2 linked regions of the Caenorhabditis elegans genome follow. The protein of the gene in region 1 interacts with the protein of each later gene in a pairwise test. Each region holds a gene or a part of one and is shown on either strand. Other genes may lie near its edges.

Evidence for each region. Proteins that work in one complex are often made in the same cells at the same time.
Region 2: the proteins of sop-2 (region 1) and sor-1 interact in binary tests that used the Caenorhabditis elegans proteins (3 or more experiments, as listed by UniProt).

Annotation. Positions count from the first base shown.
Region 1 is NC_003280.10:12,337,132-12,346,109, reverse strand, and holds sop-2 (Polycomb protein sop-2), read right to left. Parts: upstream 6,167-8,978; 5' UTR 6,165-6,166; coding exon 6,075-6,164; intron 5,739-6,074; coding exon 5,672-5,738; intron 5,455-5,671; coding exon 4,959-5,454; intron 4,188-4,958; coding exon 3,842-4,187; intron 3,481-3,841; coding exon 2,605-3,480; intron 2,554-2,604; coding exon 2,491-2,553; intron 2,476-2,490; exon of another isoform or gene 2,422-2,475; intron 1,976-2,421; coding exon 1,700-1,975; 3' UTR 1,315-1,699; downstream 1-1,314. Other genes in the region: ras-1 (R-RAS related), read left to right, coding at 1-31, 298-400; C44C11.6 (Transcriptional regulator), read right to left, coding at 824-958, 1,244-1,276; sre-52 (Serpentine Receptor, class E (epsilon)), read right to left, coding at 8,017-8,209, 8,260-8,393. UniProt on the Caenorhabditis elegans protein: Polycomb group (PcG) protein. PcG proteins act by forming multiprotein complexes, which are required to maintain the transcriptionally repressive state of homeotic genes throughout development.
Region 2 is NC_003281.10:8,415,163-8,423,766, reverse strand, and holds sor-1 (Sop-2-related protein 1), read right to left. Parts: upstream 5,600-8,604; coding exon 5,594-5,599; intron 4,563-5,593; coding exon 4,402-4,562; intron 4,189-4,401; coding exon 2,910-4,188; intron 2,855-2,909; coding exon 2,438-2,854; intron 1,975-2,437; coding exon 1,447-1,974; intron 1,394-1,446; coding exon 1,343-1,393; 3' UTR 1,113-1,342; downstream 1-1,112. UniProt on the Caenorhabditis elegans protein: Acts synergistically with sop-2 to maintain the transcriptionally repressive state of homeotic genes throughout development. Not required to initiate repression, but to maintain it during later stages of development.

The sequences.
Region 1 (8,978 bases):
AAGCGTTTTTTGATATTGTGAGATTAGTCAGGTAAGAAATTTGAAAAAAATTAATTAAAAATCCCCAACTGGGGCTAGCGGGCTCGAACCCGCGACCCTTTGTCTCAAACCCCATCCTCTTACCGACTGAGCCATGCTCGAGTTTCAGATGAAACTTTTGCGTGCGTGGCTCAGTGGGTAAGAGGTTTGGCTGCTAAGCAGAAGGTCACAGGTTCGAGTTCTCGAGGTCGTTTATAGGTTTATAGGTTTTTCAACGCGCTGAGTTTGAATTTCATACTTAAAATCTCGAAATTTCAGAAAATACCAACATGACGAGCGCATGCCCATCCACCCCCATGACGATCGGAAGCTCGAATCACCGATCAAGCTGAAGAAGAAAAAGAATTGCAGGATTCAATAAACTCCAGAAACTCAATTAATCTATTCCAGTCCGATACGACATTCAACATTGGAAGATACTTCAAAAACCTTCAAAAAATGTGAATAGTCGAACCGGAGAGTCAATCCTTCATGACTTTCATACGATATACTGCACCCTCTTCTGAAAATTTTTAACTTGCTGCCTTTAAACTCCTTCTCTCCACTTCAAAACGGGATTTCTTTGGTTTTCTATTGCTTTTAAAATGTTTTTTTTTCCTCTGATTCTAGCCCCTTCTTGTACAGTTCCAACAAAATATTTATTCCATATCCTACCACCCTACCCGTTGTGCCCGTTATCCCGAGTACAAATCTCTCTCAAATTTCGACCAAAAATCTGATATGCGCTCTACTGATAGCCCTGTGAACCCATTTTCTTTTAGAGTAATAAAAAACGTGAGAATATTTATTTTTGTTCGACGACTGGTTGGGCGATTGCCTTGACGACTTGGACGGCTTCACGGGATGATGGTGAAGCTTGTACGGCCGAGTCTTTGAGCACCTTCTCGCGACTTGCACTTCTCGATCGAGATTTTCCGATCTGAAAATGTTTACTTCAGTTCAAGGACTCGAACCAGTGGCCTTCTGTTTGCAAGTCAAGCTCGTTACCCACTGAGCCATGCCGACAATTTTTTGCGGTGCTGTGCGGCCAGTGGCTCAGCCGGTAAGAGGCTCAGCTTTAAGGGAAAAGATCACAGGTTCGATTCCTGACGTCGGTGGAGGTCGGTGGACTTGAACCAGTGGCCTCCTGCTTGCCAGTCAAGCCTGTTACCCACTGAGCCACGTGTGCTCAGCCGGTAAGAGATTTTTTAATTAAAAATCTCACATTTTTCATTGCATTCACAGCGTTCTTTAACATTTTTGTGTATCGTTCGCTTTGTGGAAACCAGAAATGAATATTTTTTAACTTTTCATATACAAAATGTCATTAACATTTAAAAAACTCGAAAAACATTTAATCATGAGGGCAAACGTGAACAGAAAAAATAAGGGTAAAACGGGTATTATGACAAAAATCGATTGATTATAGAATATAAAACATGTCTCTGTGAGTATCAAAGGGGAATTTAATAGTTAAAGAAATTGCAATCAACTTACAAAAAATTAAAATTATTAAAAATTAGAAAACTGCTGAAAGTTTTCTATCATCTAAGTAGGTCCAAATTAGGTAACGAGGAATGGGTAAAGCGGTAGGAGTCAATATGCAAGAGCTTGAAATGTCAGAAAAAACAACAAAAATATTAATTTTAACATTAAAATTAACATAAAAAAATTAACAGAGTTAACGCTGCTGAGCCTTCCAGGCAGCCAACTCCTCATGGAACTTTCTCAAATCAGCTTGATACTTTTCCGTACGATAATGGTTGAGCACCTCAGTCCCATAGATCTTCATCTTCTTATAATGACCATATGGAATTGGTACCTCTTTTCGAAAATCATCGTCCAACACAAGACAGGCCAGCGTTTCTCCGTCAAACTCCTCGCGAACCATAATTGCAATAGTGGAATCCACGTTGTTGGTGATGAGAAGCCGAACCCAGTTGATGAGATCTTGCGCCTGAAGCATAATTGTTTTAGAATGTGTTAAGTCGAAATCCAGAGCCTAAGCCTGAGCCTAAGCCTGAACCTATGCTTAAACCTGAGCCTAAGCCTAAGCCTAAGCCTAAGCTTAAGCCTAAACCTAAGCCTAAGCCTAATGCTGAGCCTAAGCCTAGGTCTAAGCCTGAGCCTAAGTCTAAACCTGAGCTTAAGCCTGAGCCAAAGTCTAAGCCAAAACCTAAACCTGAGCTTAAGCCTAAGCCAAAAGTCTAAGCCTACGCTTAAGCCTCAGGCTAAGCCTGAGACTAAGCCTGAACCTATGCTTAAACCAGAGCCTAAACCTGAGAGAGAGAGAGAGCCTAAGGCTAACCTATGCCTAATACTAAGCCTAAGCCTAAGCCTAGATCTGAACCTGAACTTGAGCCTGAGCCTATGCTTAAGCTGAAACCTAAGCCCAAACCAGAGCCTAAGCCTACGCCTAAGCCTAAGCCTACACCTAAGCCTAAGCCTAAGCCTGAGCCTTAAAAAACTTACGTTCCACCTTGTGTAGTCTGATGTCTTGTTGGGCGGCAAAATGAGCGTAGCTTCGTGGTTGTTCTGAAGAAAATTGTAATTAAAAATTAGTCGTCATATTCTGAAAATGGTTACCTCGACAAGTGTAGGCATCGCAGGTGGAACTGGCTCCGTTGACTGTGGATCCCTGACGATTGGAGCTGGAGCTGAAGCCAATTCGACTTTAACCACCGGAACAGTCTGCTGAACTGGAGGCTCTTCTGGCTGGGATGCTGGTGGAGCCTGAGGAGCTGTGAGACGTCTCAGCGGTTGTGGCGGGATCCGATTGATGTGCGGGACCTGCTGAATGATGTTTGGATGGCGACCGGCTGTCGGTGCTGCTGTGGAGATCACCTGCTCTTGCTGCAGAACTGGCGGAGTTTCAGACTCTGGTGGGGATCCGGTAAGCGAGAAAATCATCGCCCGGATCTTTCGTGGGGAATCCCGAGAGTCGGATGAAGCTGGAGTGGCTGGGGTAGCTGGAGCATCCGGTGGGGAGCTGGAGGTGGATGGTGGGGCTTCTTTGGTTGTGGCAGTAGCTGGAACTTCTGGAGCTGCCTCGGATCTTTTTGGGATTTTCTCGGCTGGCTCGTCGACCGGCTCTTTCTTTGGCTCCACGAGCTTCCCCGATCCTCCAGATGTCCTCTTCTGACCTCTTCTCGATCCTCGTCTATTGCCACCACCTCTACCTCCACGTGCATTTCTTGGAGTAGATGTGCTCGCGTCGTTATCCACCTCCATCTCAACCTCCTGCTCCTCAGCGGCGTCCGAATCTTCAGGCTTCTTCTTCTCGGCGGCTCGCCTTGGCAGAGACTTTCTCGGTTGAGCAGCAGGTGTCTCTGGTAGGGGTGCAGCAGGACGACGGCGTGATTCGGGCCACATGTGGCCGAGTTCGCCGACTCGGCCACCATCCTTGGGTCCCAAGTCCATGCTCATAAGACGGTCCATTTCGGTTGTGCGGATTTTCTGAAACTTTGAGAAAAAATTTTAATTTGTTCACGAACCTTTTTTTTAGAACCTTTTTTCAATTTTTAGAGCAAATTTCAGCTTTGAAAGTTTATATCTCAATTGGTTTTTGTCTTATAAAAATTTTGAAAACTGCAAAAATGTTTAGAATTAATTTTTCTATAATTTAAAATAAAAAATAAATAGAAAATATGCATTAGAGATTCAGTTACGAGTTGCCAAAGTAAAGCTTATAAATTGCTCCAATTTAAGTTATCAACAAATACTCAACTACGAAATTGTAAAAAAATGCGGTAATTATTTTGTTAGTTAAGAATTTTTCGAAAAAACAAAAACCGTCCGAGATACGAGCCTTCAAAAAGCTTACCTTTTTTTTCTCGCTAGTCGGTCTGGACGCTTCTCCTTCTTTAGATGTATCCATCTCGGTAGCCGCCGACACATTTGACAGATCCACAGCCGACTCTTGAGGCATCTCTGTGGCAATTGATGTGTCCATAACTTCTGCTGCCGGAGCTGCTTCAGGTGTTGCAGGAGCTGCTGGAGCCGCTGGAGCCATCGGAGCCGCTACTGGAGTCTCTGGAGCCACCTCTGCAGCTGGTGCAGGTCTTCTAGAAGGTGCTCCGCGAGCTGCACCTCTGAAAGCACCACGATAGCCGGGCCGTCCTCCCCTCCGAGCTGCCATTCTGCTCGAGCGAGCCGCGAACTTGTTGGTTCTGAAAACAGTTGATTGATTGTTATCACAGAAAATTGAAACATTGCTAACAAAAATTGATATAACGCGCGACAAAAAACATACACACAAGGTCACACACTGCTGGGAAAACATACATCGTTCCATGTTTACATGAATCTCTGGCACCCTCTCACTCTCCCCCCCTATCACCTTCAAACTTGGCGGCGTCGGTGTGCGAGAAGTTGGCAATAGGGCGCGTTTGTTATCTTGATAAAGTGTAGGGAAATTTAAGCTCAAAAATTTCAAAGACTTTGATCTACGTAGATCTACAAAAAATGCGGGAGAAGAGACGCAGAGTTCTCAACCGATTTTGTATCGTTAAGAACGTGCTGACGTCACATATTTTTGAGCAAAAAATTCCTACATTTTTTGTAGATCAAACCGTAATGAGACCACGGAAAAGACTGATATGATCAAAATCTGGAAGCCAGGCCATATGATAGTTGTGCGAAATATCGCACTTTTTTCCCTTCCGCCATGACTCAGATATTGCTTATTGTCCGTTTCATATTGCAATATTGAGTTTTGTTATCATTAACAATCATCCCACGACATTCTTTAATATCTATTTTTTTTCTTAGTTCAAGAATTCTAAACGCCTGAAAACGGCCTGAAAAACGGCCTGAACGTAGCTTTATGCGTATAAAAAACCACCCACAAATTGGTTAAATGTATGCGCTTTTTGGGCTTTTTGCTTTTGGGAATAATATATTTGCTAATTAATTTTTTGTTCTGAAGCTCTAGTGCCTACCTTTGCAGATTTCTCATAGCTCCTAGATCAATCGGAAGTTCCTGATCCTCATCAGATCCATCATAGAACACCGGCTCGACTTCCCCTTCTTCCATCTCTCGAGAAGCTTGCTCCAAAATGCTCGTCACCCGCTTCTCCACATGATCCGGCTCGTCGGCCATCGGGTCAGCAGTCCTTTGCAATTGCTCATCACGATCGAATATCGTATCATAACGTCCCCGGTTGAGATAGTATTGGAGCTTTGAGCTGACTGGTAGTGGGACAACCTTCTCGTGGAGCATCTCCTCCTCGGCAGTGTTGAGCACTTTGATGATGGAGTTGGTCGGCTCGAACGTTTGGCGGGAGCACACGGCTTTTTCGAATTTATGAGCAAAAATGTCGGCGGACAGGCGTACCGCTTCGTAGAACTGAGATCGGGGGTCTTTGCCCTCTAGCTTTTTGTCGAGTTTTGCATAATATTGAGCTTCTTTTGGTAAGCTGCTTGATGAGCATTGATCTGAAAAATTATTATTTTCACTAATTGTAAGCAAGTTTCAAAAATTGAAGGTCTAGTAGAGCTTTAAAAAACTACAAAATTTTGGTAAATTTCCGAGAAATTCGGAAATTGGGGTTTTTTGAAAATTGGCAATTTGCCAAAACGGAGTTTATATTATAACTTGAGCACCAAAATTGCAATTATTAATTTTTCTATAATATATTTGAAAAATACTCACCTTCCAATGCATTTTCAACTTCGTGCTTTTCCGGTCGAACCACTTGAGATGTCGATCGTCGAGTGGACTGAAAGTTTTAAAACTATTGTAACTTATTGGGACGGTTAGCTATCAAAAAATTGTCAACTAATAAAATGTAGATAAATTTTGGTACTCCAAAGTGTTAGTTAACAATTTTTCCATATCTCTATTTTCCGGCAAGTTAGAGGGTTTTGAAGTTGATAATTACTAAATTTGTTTCTTTTTTTTTAACCCCTATATCTCATTGGAAAATAACTGGGCAACATTTGATAAAATATAAAAAATAGTTTAAAAAAATATTGAGCTGGGTATAAATCATTTGTTTTGTGTAAAAGTAGTGGAGAAACGATTATTTTTATTTTTAAAAATTTGTAAACTATACCTTATCCCTTTCATTTCCCTTCACAGCCTCCGGGGGCTCTACAATTGCAGATGTTGATGACATCTCATTACTGGTCAAGTTTGAACTCATTTCTTTTGAAAAAATTAATTTAAATGTATGTTGCAGTGAAATTCAATAAAACAATCTCCCGCTGAGAGGGGAGCGTCAAGATTCGTGATGGAGCGCGATTGCTCGTATAGTGGGGGGGGGGGGGGGGGGTGTATGGTACTTGGGATTTTGTTTCAAAAATGATTACACAAGGAAAATAAATTTTTAAATAAGTAGAGGTAGATTTTTTACACAAAAAAATCAATAAAATTCTGGAAATGTTTCTTTTCTAAAAAAAAAACTGTCAATTCAACTTTCAGACACTCCAAAAAGTTATGCCCGATCTTCACAATAAAAACTCGTATCTCACAGAAATTCGCAGAAAACTTTTAGATACCGGTAGCCTAAATTTGAAAAGAAAACTAAATTTTAACCAAAATGGTTTTAAAATAAAATTTTAAATACTTTAATTTTCACATTATATTTTCGATCAAAACACTAAAATAATTTTAAAAAAATAAAAAACGAAAACAGCAAACAAAAAAGTGCGAGTGACCAAATCAATCAATGCGAGTCGCAGTGGAGAGTGTGTGATGCGCGCACGCTCACCCCCACTCAAACTCACAGTCACACCTCCCCGACCCTCTTCTTTCACCACAGTGTCTCGTCGACTCGAACGATGATTGGTTTACGGGCGGGGCAATTGGGCAAAAGAGTGAGGAGATGATGGGGAATTGTATGACGACGAAGAATTATGTGGAGAGAGGAAGATTGAAGGGGAATAGTGCAAGAGAAGTTAAGCCCTGATTAGATATAAAAAGAGGATGGCTTATGGATATATGTATATGTATAAGGATTAAAAAAATACATTCCAATTATTTTGTGTATTATATAATTATATGTGTTTATAACAATCATCACCATAACTTATAGCAGATTATTCAATTTTTGGAGGTATAAACCAGGGAAAGGCGGCAATTGCCGTTCGGCAAATATTTCGTCGACAAATTCGGCAAATTGCCGGTTTGCAGATTTGCCGGTAATGTTCAAATCCGGCAATGTGCCGATTTGCCGGAAATTTTTATTTTCAGCAAAGTGCCGGTTTGCAGATTTGCCGGTAATGTTCAAATCCGGCAATTCGCCGATTTGCCGGAAATTTTTATTTTCAGCAAAGTGCCGGTTTGCAGATTTGCCGGAAATATTCAAATCCGGCAATCTGCCGGTTTGCCGGTTTGCCGGATGTTTTCATTTCGGTAAATTGCCGATTTGCCAGAAGTCTTCAATTTCGGCAATTTGCCCATTTGCCGTTTTCCGGTTATCAATTTGTCGGAAATGTTTAGAGGAATTTTATGTAAGACGGAAACCCTTAAAACTGTGCCTTTGTGAAATGTTTTCCCGTTTTCTTTAGATATTTTCATAGAATTGTCTACTTCTAAAAATAGATGTATGAGCATTCCTAGGATGAGTGCAATTTTTCCGATCAAATTTGAAATTTTTAAATTTCCAAAAAAAAATGTGCAAACCCACAATTTGCCGAAAATTTACAGCAAAGTCGGCAAATCGGCAATTAGCCGGTTTGCCGATTTGCCGGAAATTTTCAATTCCGGTAATTTGCCGATCTGCTGATTTGCCGGAAAAAATCTTTCGCGGCCCACCCCTGTATAGATGCCAAGGCTTTTAAAATCACAAGTTTCCGGGGGACACCAGTAACGTAGGAAAAATAATGTTTCATATTCTTTTTTTCATAAACTTTCGATAAAAATAGGGACTTTATAATTTTTCAATTTTTATTTTCAGACGGTTATTTCATGTAAGATTGAAAATATTGTTGAAATTTGCACTCAAAAAACTAAAAATTTTCAATTAAGTTCAAAATATTTATTATCAAAAAATCTCAATTCTTCAACTCCCACGTGTTCTGCAACTGATTAAAATAGAAATCGGTTTCCTGTGCCACATTCTGCCCGGATAACGAAACCGGACGTTGGCTCTTCAGAGCAATGCAATCAACTTTCCGGAAGAACGGGATTGCCTTGCTCCACGGGCTCACTGAGAGTATTAACACTGGGCAGACTATCAGGGGATTGCTGAAATTTTAAGATTTATAAGCAGTTTCCTTTGTTTGGAGGATACTTACAGATGCACCAAATTTTGAAAACAGAAGACGAATAACGTGCTATACGACGGAATCCATTTGTAGTTTATGGCTATAACACAGCAAATTCCTATAATCAGAAGGGAGAAGCCGACAATTATGATTCGAATTGTTAGCTGAAAATTGATTAGTGCAGTTTTTCCTGTTGCTTTGGTAATTTTTTTTAAATACCTTTGTTGGCAAATTACAAAAAAAAATTATTTTTTGACTTTTTTGAAATTCTGAATTTCCTAATACAATTAAATTTTTCTGAAATTCACAACTTTTGCAAAATTGGAAAAAAAACACTTATCAAGTCCCAATTTTTTTTTTGAAAATTATTTTTGAAAATTTAATGTTTGAAGTTTCAAATCGCCCACTAGGTACCCCTATAATTTATTTTTTGTCGAAAATTTTCAAAAGTGTTATTTCGCGCCAAAATATTTTTAAAACCAATTTTGTAATATTTAGAAGTTCACATAATTTTTTTGGAAATTTTTTTCATAGTTTAACATTTTTTTTCGTGATAATTTAAAAAATTGAACTTTCAAAAAAAAAATTATTTAACATTTCTTGCAACAACTATTGTTCACCAATATTTCTACTATTAATTTTTAAAAATTTAGATTTTGCGCAAATAATTTCAAAAACTACTGAAAAAAATTTTCGAATCCCGCACCATCTTTTGAAAAATTTTGCTACAATTTTCTGCGATTTTAGAA
Region 2 (8,604 bases), on another chromosome or scaffold:
TCAACTACTTTTGTTTCGTTTGACTTTTTATTGAATATTCCAAGAAGATTTAGTTTTCAACCAGATTTTATCGGTAGTTTTAACTTTACACACTACTAAGAATTTCAACAGGGAAAATGGCATCAAATTGCCTGGTCCTTTTGAGTGAAAACTTTATACATGTATTGATTTTTTAATGAAAATTTCCGACTAATATTTTGCTACTTTTGATATTGAAAGAATCTCAAACAATGTGGGTCTCTGACCAATCCAAGAATGATTACAAATATTGAAATTGTAGATTTAACTAGTTGGATATTCATTGTTGTCTGTTTCACAGCTGCCACATCAAAAGAATTCTTAAAATATTTACCACAACTTACTATTAGCACGTCCTCGCACTATAGTAATATCGGTGTAGCTTAAAACTTTAGAATTTTAGAGTTTAAGTTTATTCAAATGTATCACATATCGATTAGTTTGGCAATCCGTTAAAACGTCATATCCATAAAATTTATCAATTGTTCCACAAACTTTAGCTAGTTGAACAGTTTGTGCAAGTAATTTCTCAACAAGCAATATCTTCCTATGCAGATCCTATTGGTTAACCACAATAGCAAAATGTTCAAGTTGATCGACGTTACCTGAAAATTCTAATGAAAAGTTTGTTCTGCAAGATTGTATAAGAATTTAAGTTTTGCCAAAAAAAAGTTTACCAATTTTTGCTGACTATCAGAATTAGGGATCTGGGAATAAATGAAATACTACTGCTAACTTCTGTAAGCTTAGTTATAAATTATCTGGATTGACAAATCAACGTGTGCTATCTACAAAAGGAAGTACACAGATTTTATGAATCTGCGGATTTTATGTGATCTGCCAATATTTTTGGAATTATTGTATTATATCGATCAATTCGTAGTAACCAAAAAATCGACAAATTGAAAAAAGAAACTTTTTTGCGTGCTTAGTTGGTTATTGGTGGAAACATTCTGATTGGCGCGGTAGTTCAAAATTTAAATTTTCACAACCATCCGGTTGAAAGTATATTGGTGCTGGTCCAATTATAAAATTGCTTCATTGCTACTTGCTTTCTTAAATACTGTTCTTGTTTTCAGACGCTTCGCATAACGATTCTCCAAATAAAATGTTTATTGTGTGATGATTGTGTAAAACAGACAAAAAAAGAAACTAACTCATCTAAAAATAGGTAAATGAGAGCAAAGTTTTAAGATCACTACTACTAGAAGCGTAAAAAATAAGACAAAAGCAAAAACCCGACAGAGGAAAAAAACGGAAGAGGTACACAAAATATGGTTTGGTAACAAACATAATTATTTACAAATTTATATTGAATTAAAATTTATGTTGGATTTAAAGTTGGTGGTTGTGCTGTAGAAGTCGTTGGTCGGTTCTGTAAAAAGTTGAATTTAAAATAATTCCAAAATTCCTAGAAAATTAACATACCGATGCTGGAGAACTGGTCGCTGTTGCAGCATTTGTTGGACTGGTAGATGAAGCTTCAGAAGATGTGGAAGAGTTTCCCATGCTTGGTGGGCGTTGACTATGCATTCGATGTATATGATTCATAACCTGATCAATTGATTTCTTCTTTCTATCAACAACTGGTCTTCCGATGTCTAATGAAGATGGTAGAAGTATTCTTGGAAACTCATTGTTTAGTGGCAAATCCCACTGCATAATTCTATAGAATGTCTTCCATTTTTCCACATTTGACTCGTCGGATTGAAGTTCCAAAAGGTACAATTGCAATTGATCACTGTGCGACATTCGATGAATCTTGACATCTGCCTCATCGCATCGTCTTCGAGACAAATACATATTGTAATCAGCAATTGAAAGAATTTTATTGAAGTGTGGCATTGGATCACCAAGGAAGTAGAATTCGAGGAAACTTGCTGGATCAGCCTGTCGAGAATTGCACAGAAGACGATACTCGTTGATAGCTTTTATTGTGTTGCTCACATTCAATCTCTGAAAACTTTAATTTAATTTTGAAACTTTATCAATGATTTTGAACAAAACTGGCACTTATACGAAACCCTGCATTTACTGAGAATTCATTGAAGGTGAAGTAGTAAGTTTGTTGAATGAATGAATTTTGATTGAATGCATGTCAAACTATTCAGCTTGACCAAAAATACTCTGTCAAAGTTTTGATAAAGTGAGAATTTTTGAAAAACTTAAGGGCTTTTGAGGAATTCAAGACTTTGATACGTGTTCAAACTACTACAACTTCACCTTAATAGATGTTTAACTATCTCTTTAAAAAATCAACCAAAATAATGAGTTTGATGTCAAAAGCAATTCTCAAGGGTAAGATTTCCTGCCAGAAACATCAATTTTAACAATCTACATAGGCGGTAGGCAGGCACAAAGATTTGAAACCGTGCTTGCCTATTATTGAAGATTTATTAAATTTAAGAGTATAACTTACTCCTGATTTTTCATATGGCGGGAAGTGCCATGGAATGATTGAATTGGTGAGCGTCGCTGGTGATGCAACAGTCACATATGTATTGTTATATGTCTGCTTAGAATCTGGCCTAAAGTTGCACGGATCCGGTGCTCCAGGTCTCAAAAACTGCAGTTCTCCTTGGAGAGCTCGATGTGGTGGCTGTGGAGGAGGTGGTCGAGGTGGGTTCAGTTGTGCCATATTCATCGCCATTGCTTCAATCTTCACGAGGCGATTGCGTACTTCTTCAGACGGCTGCACAGATGAAGTATTCAGAATTCGAGCTCTTTGGTTTGAATTTGGAAGTTGCATATATGGATGTGCATAACGCTGTCCATCTGGTCCAATCATAAATTGCGGTGAACGTTGGAATTGTGGAGGTACGCCTTGTTGACGATTCTGGAAATTAAAGTATAAAAAATTGAACTAATTTTCCAGGTTTCTGAAAACCTACCTGTTGTGGTGGCAGAATACCAGGTGGATATGCTGGTGGAGGCAATCTTTGCTGTCCTTGTGGTGGCATTGGTGGCATGTTCATGTACTGTTGAGGAAGTATTTGCTCTCGATCAATTTTTTCAATTTCATTCTGGACCCTTTGATACGCCTTTGCCAATGTGAACTTCTTGTTCATAGTCATTGTCGGACTTTTACAAGATTGGGCATTGATTTCCTGTAGCTGTTGAACAAGTTCATTTCTTCTCTTTATTCTTTGAACGCTGGCAATGCAGATCGAATGGAAGATGCTCTCCAGATCACTCGGTCTCATTTTTTGAACTTCAGAAATTGGTTTTCGAGTGTACCCAGCAACTGCACGGATTTTCGCTTCAAATGGAACATTTTTTTCAAGTTTGAGTGTAACTTGAGGACAAGCCATCGGAGGAGCATTTCCAGTGCCAGGTGGTAAATCATGATAGGAAATCATATTAGTACGAGATCCACGAGCAACTTGTCTTTTCTGTTGAGAAGTTCCAGGAATTTGTTGCTGTTGAGATGGTCCCTCAATTGAGGCTTGTGGGACTTGTGGAGAAGGTTGTTCAGCTTCAAATGAAGCTTCTTCACTTGGTGCTTCTACAGTTAGCGAAGGCATTTCATCATCATCCATCAGTGTTTCATCTTCTTCTGGCAATGCAACAGGAGTTTCAATCTTGATTACAACCGGGGCAGGAGCAACTGGAGCATTTATAGCCCTCATCAATTCTGACGGTCCAGCTGGTTCACGCACTGTTTCCATTTCCTTCCGATTTGCCTCACTGGAGCATGACGGAGAGCTAGTTGAAGGTACACTCGAGCTACTTTGTCCATCATTCATTGCTTGATGTTGTTGGTGATACTCTTGATATTGTTGATATTGCCCATGTTTTCTTGCTTTCTCTTCTTCTTCCTCTTGCTTCATAATTTTCGCTTTCATTGACTCCGAAGGCACAAGCTTCATCTCCAAAAAGAACTTGTCAGATCCCTCGTTGCTCTGTTTATATGCAATATCACGGAGAACTGCATCGGGTTTCTGAAGATGAAGGCGCTTTCCACCATGCAACTCTAGTTGTACGTAGTCTGTGTCGATCTCTAACAACTTGACGAGATCCTCGATCAGCTTGTCAACACGAGCTCGTGAATCACAAAGAAGTACATATTCAGGCCCGTCATCAAGTGGGCCATATTCTGTGCAAAGACTTGTGACGTGGAGGCATAAGGTGATGTAGTCATCTCTTCCATATTTGGCGTTCAGTGCTTTTCTGGAAATTGGGAAATTAAAGTTATTTTTCTAAATCTTATCTTCATGTATGTTTCTGCAATTTTTTATGTTCTATCTCAATAAACTTATATTTAAAGGTTCAACTAACTCTAAAATCGTTTTTTTTTATTTGCACATATATTTTGGCAGACCAATAATAATAGAAAACTACAATTTCTTAGGCTACAAAAAAAAGTAAAATTGTAAAGCTTACTCATAAGATTCAGGAGTCTGATTGTTCACATTCAACACGTAATCGCTCAATGCTCGGGGGATCACAAATTGTGGCCCTTGAAATTTGTGCTTGATAGAGTGTGGATGTGGCTCCTCCGGGACTTTTTCTGTAGACGAAGACGCAGGTTCACTCGACATTATCTGAAAATTCTTCTGTTGAAGTGAGCGAGAGAAAGATTATACGAAGGATTACATCAGAACGGTGAAAAAGAAAACGAATCCATTTGGGAGATTTAAGGATGGAGGGGGGACGGATTAGACAGTGTAAGGGAGCAGAGAAAAAGAGAAAGAAATCCCTCTTCATCACTTATTTATTGGATTCTTTTCTCGCGGTTTATGGGGTTTCAAGTCGGAACGGTGAGAACAAGTCGTAGTTATGAACGAGAGACAAAAAAGAATTCAAAGGGCGCCGCTGAGAGAAGTGTACACCGTAATCAGTATGCAAACACTAATATTGTTGCTCTTTTCAGTAAGATTTTGATCAAGATAGAGATAACATCATTTTCTTAAAAGCTCAGAAACCTTTTAGAAACGATTAAGGAGAACATCTTCCAAATTTAAAAGCGCAATATTTGGAGGTCAAACATATGCTCTTTGAAATGTTCAGCTAAAAGTTATCAGCTAAATTTCACGGGTAGTCTGTGAGCGCCCTCTTCATTTGATCTCCAGAAATTTCGCCAATTTTTTTTCCATACTGTAGATCAGAAGAAGAGGGAAAACTCTAAACATAGATGCTACTTCGGAACAATAAACACTTAACACTTATGAGAAAGAATTACAAATTTTTCAGGAATAAGCGTTTTGAAAGTTAAAAAAAACTGAAATTTGCAAAATTGACGAATTTTACGAGAATATCTTCCAAAATTCAAAAAAAAACATATAAAATCAAATTTAAAAAAATCTAGATATTAAATTATTTGAGTTTTGGAAAAAGGATATATCAAAAAATACACAAATCACTCTATGTTTTTTATGATGTCAGCTCTGGCGTCAGTAGTGACTGATGTTTTGTTTATTAGAAAAAGAGAACTTAATGAAAAAAAAACGAAAATTTATAATTATAAAGATGGGCACATGCGGGTCACAGCTTTTCAGAAGGTGAAGCACAAAGGAAAGTATGAAGATGCATGAGAAATTGTGAAAAGAGAATTAAACATTTATCCGAAACTTACCAACATCAATCAAAATAGAAATTTAGCATGTTTCCTAACTGGCCGCCGCCGCCACCGCCGCCTTCAGAAAAATCAATAATTCAATTGTTACAGTAAAAGTACAAGTCATGATGGGGTCATACATTGATTAGATATCATGCAACTATACTTTTTCATCTTAACAACTGAAAAACTATATGGACAGGAGAGAACAAAGTTTGGAAAATGGACAGACGAAGGAAGGGGAGAAAGGAGAAGAGGACTGGCTACAGAACGAAACACAAGGGGCAAGAGAATCTGCAGAAAGGCAGTCACAGAGAAATATTCCTTGGAAACAAGAGGGTCTAGAGAAATGAGGCAGATACACAACTAATTCTGCATCGACCAATCGGAGGCCATCGACACGCCTCCTTGTTGTTGAGCCTTTCACGAAAGGGCGGGGTGGGTAGTGTCAGAGATACAGTAATCCTTTTCGCCTGCCTTCCATCGCATTTAACGACTATCGACAAAGAGAGATGAGGACAAGAGATGCAGAGAAAAAGAGTGAACGAGGGTGTGTGCGCTTTCTTGAATGACACATTCAAGAGACAACACTGGAAGTTAGACAGTGGGTGAAATGAAGAGAGCAGTCTTCTCATCGGACCCTGTGGTGCTCTCGGAGCCCGCTGTGGAACTTGCCGCCAAATCGATCAATCATAGAATTATATGCTCGTGTGTGAGTGTGTGAGTGTGTGTGTGTGTGTGTGTGTGTATACTGAAGGATCCTCTAAAAGCTGTCAGCGACGGCGGGACGTAAACAATTAAGCAGAGGGTGCGAGATACCGTATTCGTTGACTCCGCCCATTTTATCTCTCTAGCACAACACTATTTTCATCTTTCTCTCGTTTCGGTTTATGTGTGTGTGTGAGTGAGTGTGTATATGTGTAAATAGATGCTTACGAAACGAAGAGAAAAAGAAAGAGAGCGGCGGAAAGGACGGCACCAGGCGCGCGCGCATATATTTTTATGTTGAGGGAAAAGAGAAAAAAAAAGAACAGAGAGAGAGAAAGAGAAAATCGAGATGGACGGCCCAGTGTCCCCCCGCCACGAATAATTGAATGAAAGCGCAATGGAGGGGAATACGGTAATTAGGTTAAAGAGATATGTTCCCCCGTTTGATGGGTTTTCAAGTGGCGGAAGAGACGTGTCCTTCATCCGGAGGATTACTGTAGAATAATTACTGAAATTGGAGTACCATGGAGTTAATGAGCTGGAAATTTTTGATTTTGATTAAAGAGCAGCTCCAAAATGGAGGCAAAGTCTTAAGATCTAGCAATTAGTAAATCTTAGAAAATACAATTTATGGAACAACTAAATATAGTAGGAATGGACAACAACCGGAAGTTACCTAACTTGACCAGCTGAAAACTTTCGGCTACTTTCCTGATACTGGTTAAAGTTTTGGCATTGGTCAAACAAATATATTGCCCTTATATTCTGAAAAATAATATGAGAAAAAGGTTCGCTTCTTTCAGGCTCTCTGAATATATTTTTCATAATAAAATAAAATTTCAAATTGGTATTGTCAATTTCCAAAGTTGCCGAACATCAAAAAATGTTGGCAATCGGCAACTTTTCCCTTACTGTACAAGTACGGTAGATTAACTTCTGAAGATTATTCATTACGACGGGAAACGTAAACAATTGACTCATCGGGTGTCCGATATCAGTAAATGACGTTGAGAGATTGAATGATGTTTGATATGATGAAGAGAGCACGATATACGTTACAACTTGGTAACCAATATCAAAGAAACTAACTTTGAGTTTATTCAAGGATAACTTTATTCTCAACCAGTTAACGTAGTATTTAGGCATAGAAACTGGTGGCTGGTAATAAGCTGGAATGTATGTTTTAGGTTTCAGCTCTTCTGAACTGGATGTCTTTGAAGAAGAAAATTTGGAAGAGTATTTTATATTAATTGTCATAACTGCTTTTAAATTACAGTTCAAGAATTGCCATTCGCTTTTCCATAGTGTTGTGCAGAATCATTGTTTGATTTATTTACAAAGATATGAGTTAGAACATTTGATTAACCAGGTCCAAGTTAGATGATAGATATTTTGACCTTTTGGAAGAGAACCAATTGTAAAGACTACGGTAGCTTGTTTTCACAAGTGTCCCTCCGGTCACCACTTGGTAAAATGCACATATCCTCACTCTGGAGACTATATCAATTTTATTTCTGTCTACAAAAGACAATTGGAAAGCGTTTTATTTATTTATTTATTACGCTCTCTCGGATACGTGATGAAAACCAATTACATAAATATAAAAACAACAAAAAATAGAAGACAAATACAAATAATAGAAGAAAAAAAAATTTGGGAAGGGGAGGGGGGAGGGGGGTGAAGATGAAGAGGATAGGGAAACTGGATATTTGAAGAGCAGAAGTTAAGATGAGCTTATGATCTGTTGTATCGTGTCAGAAATTGTTTAGTTGCGTACTTAAGGTATGATTAATAACAAAATGTCGCCTAATTGTAGTTTTGCACTTGCCCCAAGAGAATTTGTATTTCGAACGTGTACGTGTATTTTCAGTAAAGTTGAAAAATTCAGACGTTTCAAGACCTATTTTTCCAGTCATCATGTGGGATATGAGTTTTTTATCAATTGCTAATCTTCTATTTTCTGACGTTGAGAGCTTAAATAATTCATTTCTTTCCGAGGCTGATTTGTAATCTTTGTCATCTGGTCTGATGTATCTACCCTTCATTCTACTGTAAAACCTTCTCGTAAACGCGTTTTGTACTGATTCTATAGCTTTTGAGTCGTTCTTCTTAATTGGACTAGTGATTACTGTGCCATATTCTAGTCTAGGCCTTATGAAAGTTTTATAGAGTAATGTCATAAGCTTTACGCTTTTACTAGAGTATGTGTTAAAGATTTGGAATAGTTGGTATTTCGTGAGATTGATAGTCTTTTTCCAGTGGTCCGTAAAATCGAGTTTTTCAGACACTAAAAATCCTAGGTCCCTTGTTAATACTTCTTT